Linked DNA regions of Macaca mulatta. The protein of the gene in region 2 purifies or fractionates together with the protein of the main gene of each other region. This does not show direct contact. Links are inferred from orthologs where the notes say so. Each region holds a gene or a part of one and is shown on either strand. Other genes may lie near its edges. The genes, in order: NUDC and MAP4K1.

Evidence for each region.
Region 1: the proteins of MAP4K1 (region 2) and NUDC purify together in Homo sapiens (affinity purification with mass spectrometry; 3 studies listed by BioGRID and IntAct, with this or other methods). This does not show direct contact. The link is inferred for Macaca mulatta from reciprocal best matches to the Homo sapiens genes MAP4K1 and NUDC.

What each region holds. Positions count from the first base shown.
Region 1 is NC_133406.1:214,057,534-214,061,917, reverse strand, and holds the start of NUDC (nuclear migration protein nudC), read left to right. Parts: upstream 1-1,492; 5' UTR 1,493-1,606; coding exon 1,607-1,687; intron 1,688-3,955; coding exon 3,956-4,033; intron 4,034-4,384. UniProt on the Homo sapiens protein: Plays a role in neurogenesis and neuronal migration. Necessary for correct formation of mitotic spindles and chromosome separation during mitosis. Necessary for cytokinesis and cell proliferation.
Region 2 is NC_133424.1:49,699,207-49,703,012, forward strand, and holds part of MAP4K1 (mitogen-activated protein kinase kinase kinase kinase 1), read right to left. Parts: intron 3,764-3,806; coding exon 3,632-3,763; intron 2,019-3,631; coding exon 1,956-2,018; intron 1,846-1,955; coding exon 1,764-1,845; intron 770-1,763; coding exon 653-769; intron 421-652; coding exon 342-420; intron 1-341. UniProt on the Homo sapiens protein: Serine/threonine-protein kinase, which plays a role in the response to environmental stress. Appears to act upstream of the JUN N-terminal pathway.

The DNA.
Region 1 (4,384 bases), on a different chromosome or scaffold from region 2:
AGGCCAAGGCAGGTGGATCACTTGAGGTCAGGAGCTTGAAACCAGCCTGGCCAAAATGATGAAAGCCCCTCTACTAAAAATACAAAAAAAAAAAAAAAAAAAAAAAAAAAGAAAATTAATTGGGCATGGTGGTGCCTGTAAGCCCAGCTACTTGGGAGGCTGAGAATCACTTGAACCTGGGAGGCAGAGGTTGCAGTGAGCTGAGATCGTGTCATCACACTCCAGCCTAGGCGACAGAGCTAGACTTTGTCTAAAATAATAATAACAATAATAATGGATAGACTAGAATAAACTGTAGAGAGATGGAAGGTGAGGGAGTAGAGAAACAAGCAAACAAGCTTGCTGCAAATGAGAGCTGAAAATTGGGGAGGTAGCAGCAGAAGAAAGTGGGGTCATGGAATAATAATATAAAAACAGGGCTGGGCATGGTGACTCAAACCTGTAATCCCAGCACTTTGAGAGGCTGAGGCAGGAGGAGTGCTTGAAACCGGGAGTTTGAGACTTAGCCTGGGCAACACAGACTCCATCTCTACCCAAAAAAAAAAAAAAAAAAAGCAGGGCTTGGTGTGAGCCTGTAGTCCCAGCTACTCTGGAGGCTGAAGTGGGGAGGATGGCTTGAGTCCAGGAGTTCAAGGCTGCCGTGAGCCATGATGGCGCCACTGAACTCCAGCTTGGGTGACAATGCAAGACCCGCACCTTTAAAAACAAACAAAAAGACATTAAGGCATGTTTGTAAATTGAAGGGAAGAATAAAGGTATTTGTGATGCAGAAGCTAAAAAAGGGATAATTAACAGGCATAGAGTTCCTGAAAAGACTAAGATGATGAGATTCATTGCAAAAGTGGAGGGATTAGCTTGGATGGCTGGGTCCTGTCCCTGCACTAACAGAAGTGAAGGTCAATTTCAGCACCTGTCATAATTTCCTGGGCCCTGTGCAAAGTGAAAATGTGGGGCTCCTTATTCCAAAATTATTAAGAATTTCAAGACTACAACAGAAAAGCATTAAATCAAGCGTGGAGCCTTTCTAAGCCTGGGTGCTGTGCGACTGCAATTTCTACTCCCATGAAGCTGGCCCTGGTCAAGTATGAAATGAGGTCGATGAGAAGGAGGCTGTCCTGTGGTAAGTCCCTTCTAGGATTGGAAGAGATGAGTAAGGCTACTTTCAGCTTCACTGTTCTACAAGCTGGGGGGTCACTAGCAAGGGAGAGGAGCAAAACTTGTCCCTTTTTAACTTCCAACTCTGCCAGATTTGAGTCCAGGGCTTTCTAGAAGTCTCCACGGCATCGGGTGACCATAGCAACTCATGCCAAACTCTCAAGCCCACGGCTCCGCCCACCGCTTCGTGGACGCGCTTGTTGATTGGCTCAGAATGTCGACCAATGGTCGGCGAAGCGGGTTGCTTGCCGCACGGTCAATGGCCGCGAGCCGGGAAGAAGGCGGGAAGAAAGGAGGAGGAGGCAGGCCTGCAGGGGCCGCGCGGGTGCGTGTTTCCGGCTCCGCTGCGGAAGGCGGACGACTAGAGTCGTTGGGCCCGGCGCGATCCGAAGGAGCCTAGAGAGCGCGGGACTAGAGTGCAGAGCTCGGGACGTGGATCGGAGCCGGCGCGATGGGCGGAGAGCAGGAGGAGGAGCGGTTCGACGGCATGTTGCTGGCCATGGCTCAGCAGCACGAGGGCGGCGTGCAGGAGGTAACGGTCCGCGCGGCGTCGGCCCATCCGGCGGCCCTGGCCAAGCTCCTTCCGCCCTTCTCTGCCTTCCAGGGCTGAGACCCACCCCTGGGGCTCGCGGGCTTCTGGGATGCCCCCACATTCTCACCGCGCCCAGCTTCCGGCCTGGCCACCCGCTGGCGGTCTCACCCGGTTCGCATCAGTTCTGGGCCCCCGGCGCCCCTCAGTAGTAGCAATTATCGCGTCCCTGAGCTTAGGATTCCCCTTTAGTTTCACATATACCCCCAACCCCGTTTCCACTTTCATGGCGTCTTCCGAGGAGCATCCCTTAGTAAGAACCGTGCCAAATATAGTGATTTGGATCCACCAAGGCTTGGGGCGAGCCGTCGAATGTGTGTGGTAGGGGCGCGGGGTGATGTTAGCACGTGGTCTTGTTAGGCCTTGAATGGGGGAATAGGAGAGGAGGCCTGTGTTCACGATTAGTTTCCACCACCTACCAACTTGGAACCTTTACATCTCTCCAAGCCTGAGTTTCCTTGTCTGTGAGACAGCTGCGAATGCCGGTTTCCCGAGAGTAGTGAAGTACCGTAAGTTCTCAGTAATAAGGCTTTTTCATTCAACAAGTATTTGTCGTGTGATTAATGTGTGTCCCACACTCAACGCGACTGGGGATACAAAAACTTGTCCTCGCCCTGATAGAGCTTACAAAGAGCATTTCAAAGAGATAATTCGTGCACAGTGACAGACACGGTAACACAGTGTATGAATAATAAGGGCCAACTGTTCCAGATTCTGGAGTTGGTTTTTTTGGAACAAACACAAAGTTAGAGGTAGAAAAGTCCGTCAGGATCAGAACTGTCATTCTCAGAGCCAGAAAAGTGGCAGGGATTTGCCTAGATCATACAGCGTGGTCCTCACCTGGACAGGTCAGTGTGCTTCCCAGAGTCCATGGCTGATTGTGTCTCACTGGAGGTAGGTTTCCATTGAACTTTCTATTGCTATGTAACCCAGGTGTCTGGTGACCAAGGATTTCTAAGCCCTTTGTGGTGGGGAGAGTGCTTCTAATTTGGAAGTGTGAAAAGCCTTCCTGTCTCCATTCCTCTAAACTGTTTACACAAAACTGGATTTGGGAGTGAGTTCATTTTTGAACAAACTGAAAAAGTGTCTAGAAGCAAGAATGGAAATCACTGATATATGTTCTAGCGTCAGATTTCATCAGATTTAGACCCACTCTTGGGCAAATAAAGGGCTTGTGTGTGCTGACTTTAGGTCACCGCTAGATTGTTTCATTCAGCAAGAATTTTACTGAGCATGTACCTTTAGCTCTATCTGGTGCCCAGCATTGCAGGTGGCAGATAGACTAAGCCATGGGTCATGGTCCTATTTGTAAGGTGTTTACCCTCTGCCAGTGGGTCTCTTGCTCTGTGCCATACGTGGCTGAAGGCCTCAACTCCATGACCTCATGATCCTCACCAGGTCCCTAGAAATAGGTACTGCATCTTATTCCTGTTGTACAGAGTTAAGAAACTTCTGCAAAGTCAAAAGGTAATATATGTCCGTCAGATACTCAAACCCTTGGCTACACTTGTACTCCAGCCAGAGTTAATCCATCTTATCCTCCTTTGAAGTGCTTCATTTGCTCTCCTCCGTCTTGCTTTGACCCAGTAACTTAGTGTCTTTTTTTTTTTTTTTTTTTTTTTTTTTTTAGACAGAGTCTCACTCTGTCACCCAGGCTGGAGTGCAGTGGCATGATCTTGGCTCACTGCAACCTCTGCTTCCCGGGTTCAAGTGATTCTCCTGCCTCAGCCTCCCAAGTAGCTGGGATTACAGTTGCCCACCACCGCACCCGGCTGATTTTTGTGTTTTTAGTAGAGGTGGGGTTTCACCTGTTGGCCAACCTGGTCTTAAACTCCTGACCTCAAGTGATCCGCCCTCCTGAGCCTCCTGAAGTGCTGGGATTACAGGTGTGAGCCGGTGTCTTGATGGGGTTTTTAAAGCTGGGCCTGGGCTTTTCATGCCCTGGATGCAGAGGAGTATTGCATACACTTAGGCTGCTTCAGGCATCACAAGGAAAATGAAACGCGCACACTCACACAGGATATGAGAAATCTGCTTCATGGTGGAAGTAACTAAGAGAACCTGCTGGGGAGATGTCTCCTCAGTTGGGAGGCTCAGAGGAAAAATAGTCAAGTCCCAAGTTGCCTCCTAGACAAAAGAAGTTGACTTGTGTGCACTTGAAGGGCTCCCAAATGGCAGCTCCACACCTTTAATCTTCTCCCCATCTTTCAGCTTGTGAACACCTTCTTCAGCTTCCTTCGACGCAAAACAGACTTTTTCATTGGAGGAGAAGAGGGGATGGCAGAGAAGGTAAGTGTTGGAAACTGCTCTCTTTTCGGCAGCTCTGTCTCTTCAGAAGAAAAACTCACCTGGTCTTCCTTTGGCATAATAGTAACTAACTTTCAGCAGAAGCGAAATGTCAGAGGTGAGGAGTTGGGGAAGGGAAGGAAGCTGTCATTTCTTCGGTCTCCACTCCTTGCTCAGCGCTCTATCTACCTTATTTCCCATGATTTTTGCAGTTCTACAAGAGGGGCAGGTGTTAACTATCCCCGTTGAGGAAACTGGCTCAAGAGAGTTTTGCACCTTATCCAAAGTCTTGAGCTGAGCTATGGGAGAACCAGGGTTGAAACCAGTCTGTTGAAAACCTGCCCTCTGTCCCAA
Region 2 (3,806 bases):
TCCTGAATAGCTGGGACTACAGGCGCGCACTACCACATCCGGCTAATTTTTGTATTTTTAGCAGAGACGGGGTTTCACCCTGTTACCCAGGCTGGTCTCAACATCCTGACCTCAGATGATCCCCCCCACCTTGGCCTCCCAAAGTGCTGGGATTACAGGCGTGAGCAACCGCGCCCAGCCTCTACGGTCATTTTGTAGGTCAGGTGCTGATGAGATTGTCTGGGGTCTCTTATAGGATCAGATGATACTGAGGGTCTCTGGTGGCCTGATGGTAAGGGAAGGGGGTCTCTTAGGTCTATTATAGGGTCAGGTGTCCCCAGAGATAAGGATTCTCTACTCACGACAGCAGTCTGCATCTGGGATCCCCAGAGAGCTGGAGCGGTGGGTGGATCTGATCCGCCGAGGGATAGCAGGGGGTAGCTGGGCAGAGGGGCAGCCACGTCAGGGCTCAGGACCCCCAAGCAGCCCCCTACCCTGCCCGGGGTCCATCTGCTTTCCTGTAACCCTCTGGGCACACAGCCTTGTACCAAGCTCCCCATCCTCCCTGCCTGTTCTCCCCCTAAGAGAGGCAGCGGGAAGGCACTGCCCGCAGCAGGCACAGCCTGAGAAAGACCAAGCGGTCCCCAGTGCTCTTGTCAGCCAAGGCGCTCACCTCGGGCTCCTCATCCTCAATGTCCCCAATGGAGGGTCCTTTCCCAGGATTCTTCAGTTTGTCAAGAAGATCTAGGATCAGGCCTCGATTCAGCCCAGGCTGGGATACCAGTTGATGCTGGGGGAGGGAAGAGGTGTCCATATCCAGAGGGCTGGAGTGGATAGAGAGGGCTGGTATGGACAGAGAGGGCTGGTACAGGGCCTTGGGGACTGGACTAAAGGAATCTAGCTGGGGAGAAGGTGCCAGTGGATGGAGAGGGCGGGGAAATCCAGGGAACTGTCAGAGGTCTGGGGTATTCTTTTTTTTTTAAGACAGAGTCTCACTCTGTCACCCAGACAGTGGCACACTCTAGGCTCGCTGCAACCTCCACCTGCTGGGCTTAATTGATTCTCCTGCCTCAGCCTCCCAAGTGGCTGTGATTACAGGCTCATGCCAACATGCCCAGCTAATTTTTTTTTTTTTTTGAGACAGGGTCTCTCCCTGTCACTCAGGCTAGAGTGCAGTGGCGCAATCCTGGCTCACTGTAGCCTCCGCCTCCTGGGTTTAAGTGATTCTCCCACCTCAGCCTCCCAAGCAGCTGCGATTACAGGCGCGCGCCACTACACTCGGCTAATTTTTGTGTTTTTAGTAGAGACGGGGTTTCACCATGTTGGCCAGGCTGGTCTCAAACTCCTGACTTCAAGTGATCCACCTGCCTCAGCCTCCCAAAGTGCTGGGATTACAGGCATGAGCCACCGTGCCCAGCCAGCCTGGGGAGTCTAAGAAATTTTTAGGAATTAGAATTTACATTTCTCAGAGCAGGGCTGGGAGAATTCCACAGTTGTCTTGGAAGAGACTGTGGTTCCCTGGGGATTCAAGAGGACACTCAGGAACAAGTCTTGAGTCCTTTGGGAATTTGTGAGTTCTGGCAACTCAGGGGATTTGGGAAAGTTTTGGGGTATAGCCCAGAGGGTCTCTAGTGGTGGACGGTGGTCCTGGGAAATTCTGAGGCATTAGGGACTTCGGAAGGCCACGGGGACTCCGTGGAACGAAGTTATCCATGTCCTCGGGAGTTGTGGAAGGCCCCGGGGAATTCTGGGCTGAGGGGAATTCTTGGGGAAGGGAGGGTTACACTGAGCATCTTGGTGGCGCTGGGTCGTTTCTTGGGGCTCTTAGTCAGGGTGACTTTGATGAAGTTGTGGAAGGCAGCGGACCTTGGGAAGAAGAAGCCAGGTTCTGGGTGAGGGGACCAGAGACCCTCCCATCAGGCCACCCAGCCCCAGCCCCGCCCTCGCTCACCCTCCCTCCTGTCACTCTCTCATACCATTTGCCTTTTTCCTTCATTCGGGGAGGCTGGTAGCCACTCTTGGTCATGAGGAAGAGAACTCTAGAATAGTAGGGAAAGGATATGGAGTTCAGACCTTCAAGGGGGCCAGACCTCATGGCTTGAGGGGTTCCTAGTAGCATTACGGTCAGCAGAGGGCAAAGTGAGAAACAGCATGGAAGTGAGGTTCGGGTTTTACAGTGCACCAGGATACCTCTCCTAAGGGAAGCCGCTTATGGCGTGGTAGAGCTACGGCAAGGCCAGGTGCAGTGGCTCATGCCCGTAATCCCAACACTTGGGGAGGCCAAGGCGGGAGGACAGCTTGAGCCCAGGAGTTGGAGACCACCTGGGGCAACATAGTGAGACAAAAAAAAAAAAAAATTTTTGGCCGGGCGCGGTGGCTCAAGCCTGTAATCCCAGCACTTTGGGAGGCCGAGACGGGCGGATCACGAGGTCGGGAGATCGAGACCATCCTGGCTAACACAGTGAAACCCCGTCTCTACTAAAAAAATACAAAAAACTAGCCGGGCGACGTGGCGGGCGCCTGTAGTCCCACCTACTCGGGAGGCTGAGGCAGGAGAATGGCGTAAACCCGGGAGGCGGAGCTTGCAGTGAGCTGAGATCCAGCCACTGCACTCTAGCCTGGGCAGCAGAGTGAGACTCCGTCTCAAAAAAAAAAAAAAAAAAAAAAAAAATTTTTTTTAATAGCTGGATATGGCAATGTGGGCCTGTAGGACCAGCTATGTGAGAGGCTAAGGCAGGAGGATCATTTGAGCCCTGGCATTCAAGGCTGAAGTGAACTACGATGGTGCCACTGCACTCCAGCCTGGGTGACAGAGCAAGATCCTGTCTCTAAAAATAATAATAATTAATTACTTAATTTTTAAAATGGGCGTGGTGGCTCACACCTGTAATCCCAGCATTTTTGGAGGCCAAGGCAAGTGGATCACCTGAGGTCAGGAGTTCGAGACCAGCCTGGTCAACATGGTGAAACCCCATCTCTACCAAAAAATACAAAAATTAGCCAGGTTTGATGGCGCTTGCCTGTAATCCCAGCTACTTAGGAGGTTGAGGCGGGAGAATCACTTGAACCTGGGAGGCAGAGGTTGCAGTGAGCTGAGATCGTGCCACTGCACTCCAGCCTGGGTGACAAGAGTGGGACTCCATCTCAAAAATAAATAAATATATAAAAATTAAAATAAAAGATAGGCTGGGTGCAGCGGCTCACGCCTGTAATCCCAGCACCTCGGGAAGCTGAGGTGGGCAGATAATCTGAGGTCAGGAGTTTGAGACTACCCTCGCCAACATGGTGAAAACCCATCTCTACTAAAAATACAAAAATTAGCCAGGCGTGGTGGTGCACACCTGTAGTCCCAGCTACTTGGGAGGCTGAGGCAGGAAAATAGCTTGAACCCGGGAGATGGAAGTTGCAGTGAGCTGAGATTGCGCCACTGCACTCCAGCCTGGGTGACAGAGCAAGACTCAGTCTTAAAAAATAAAAAATAAAATAAAATGTTAAATTAAGTTTAAAAAATAGAGCTGCAGCATGTGCCAAGGTAGGCTCAAGTGGCGATCCCTGAACTGGAGGTTCCTGGGATGGAAGGCAGAAGCTGAGGGTGGGCTTTGGGCCAGGGCCGGACAGGATCTCTGGGCCTGGGGACCCCACACCTGCCTACCTGAGAGGGTGCACATCGAAGAGCGGTGGCTGTAGCTCGGCCAGTTCGATGGCCGTGATACCCAGGGACCAAATGTCACATAGCTCATTGTATCCTCCCTTCAGGGCCACGGCTGCCACTTCTGGAGCCATCCTGGGGGGAGACACACTCAGAGAGCCAGAGGTGGCATGGGGAC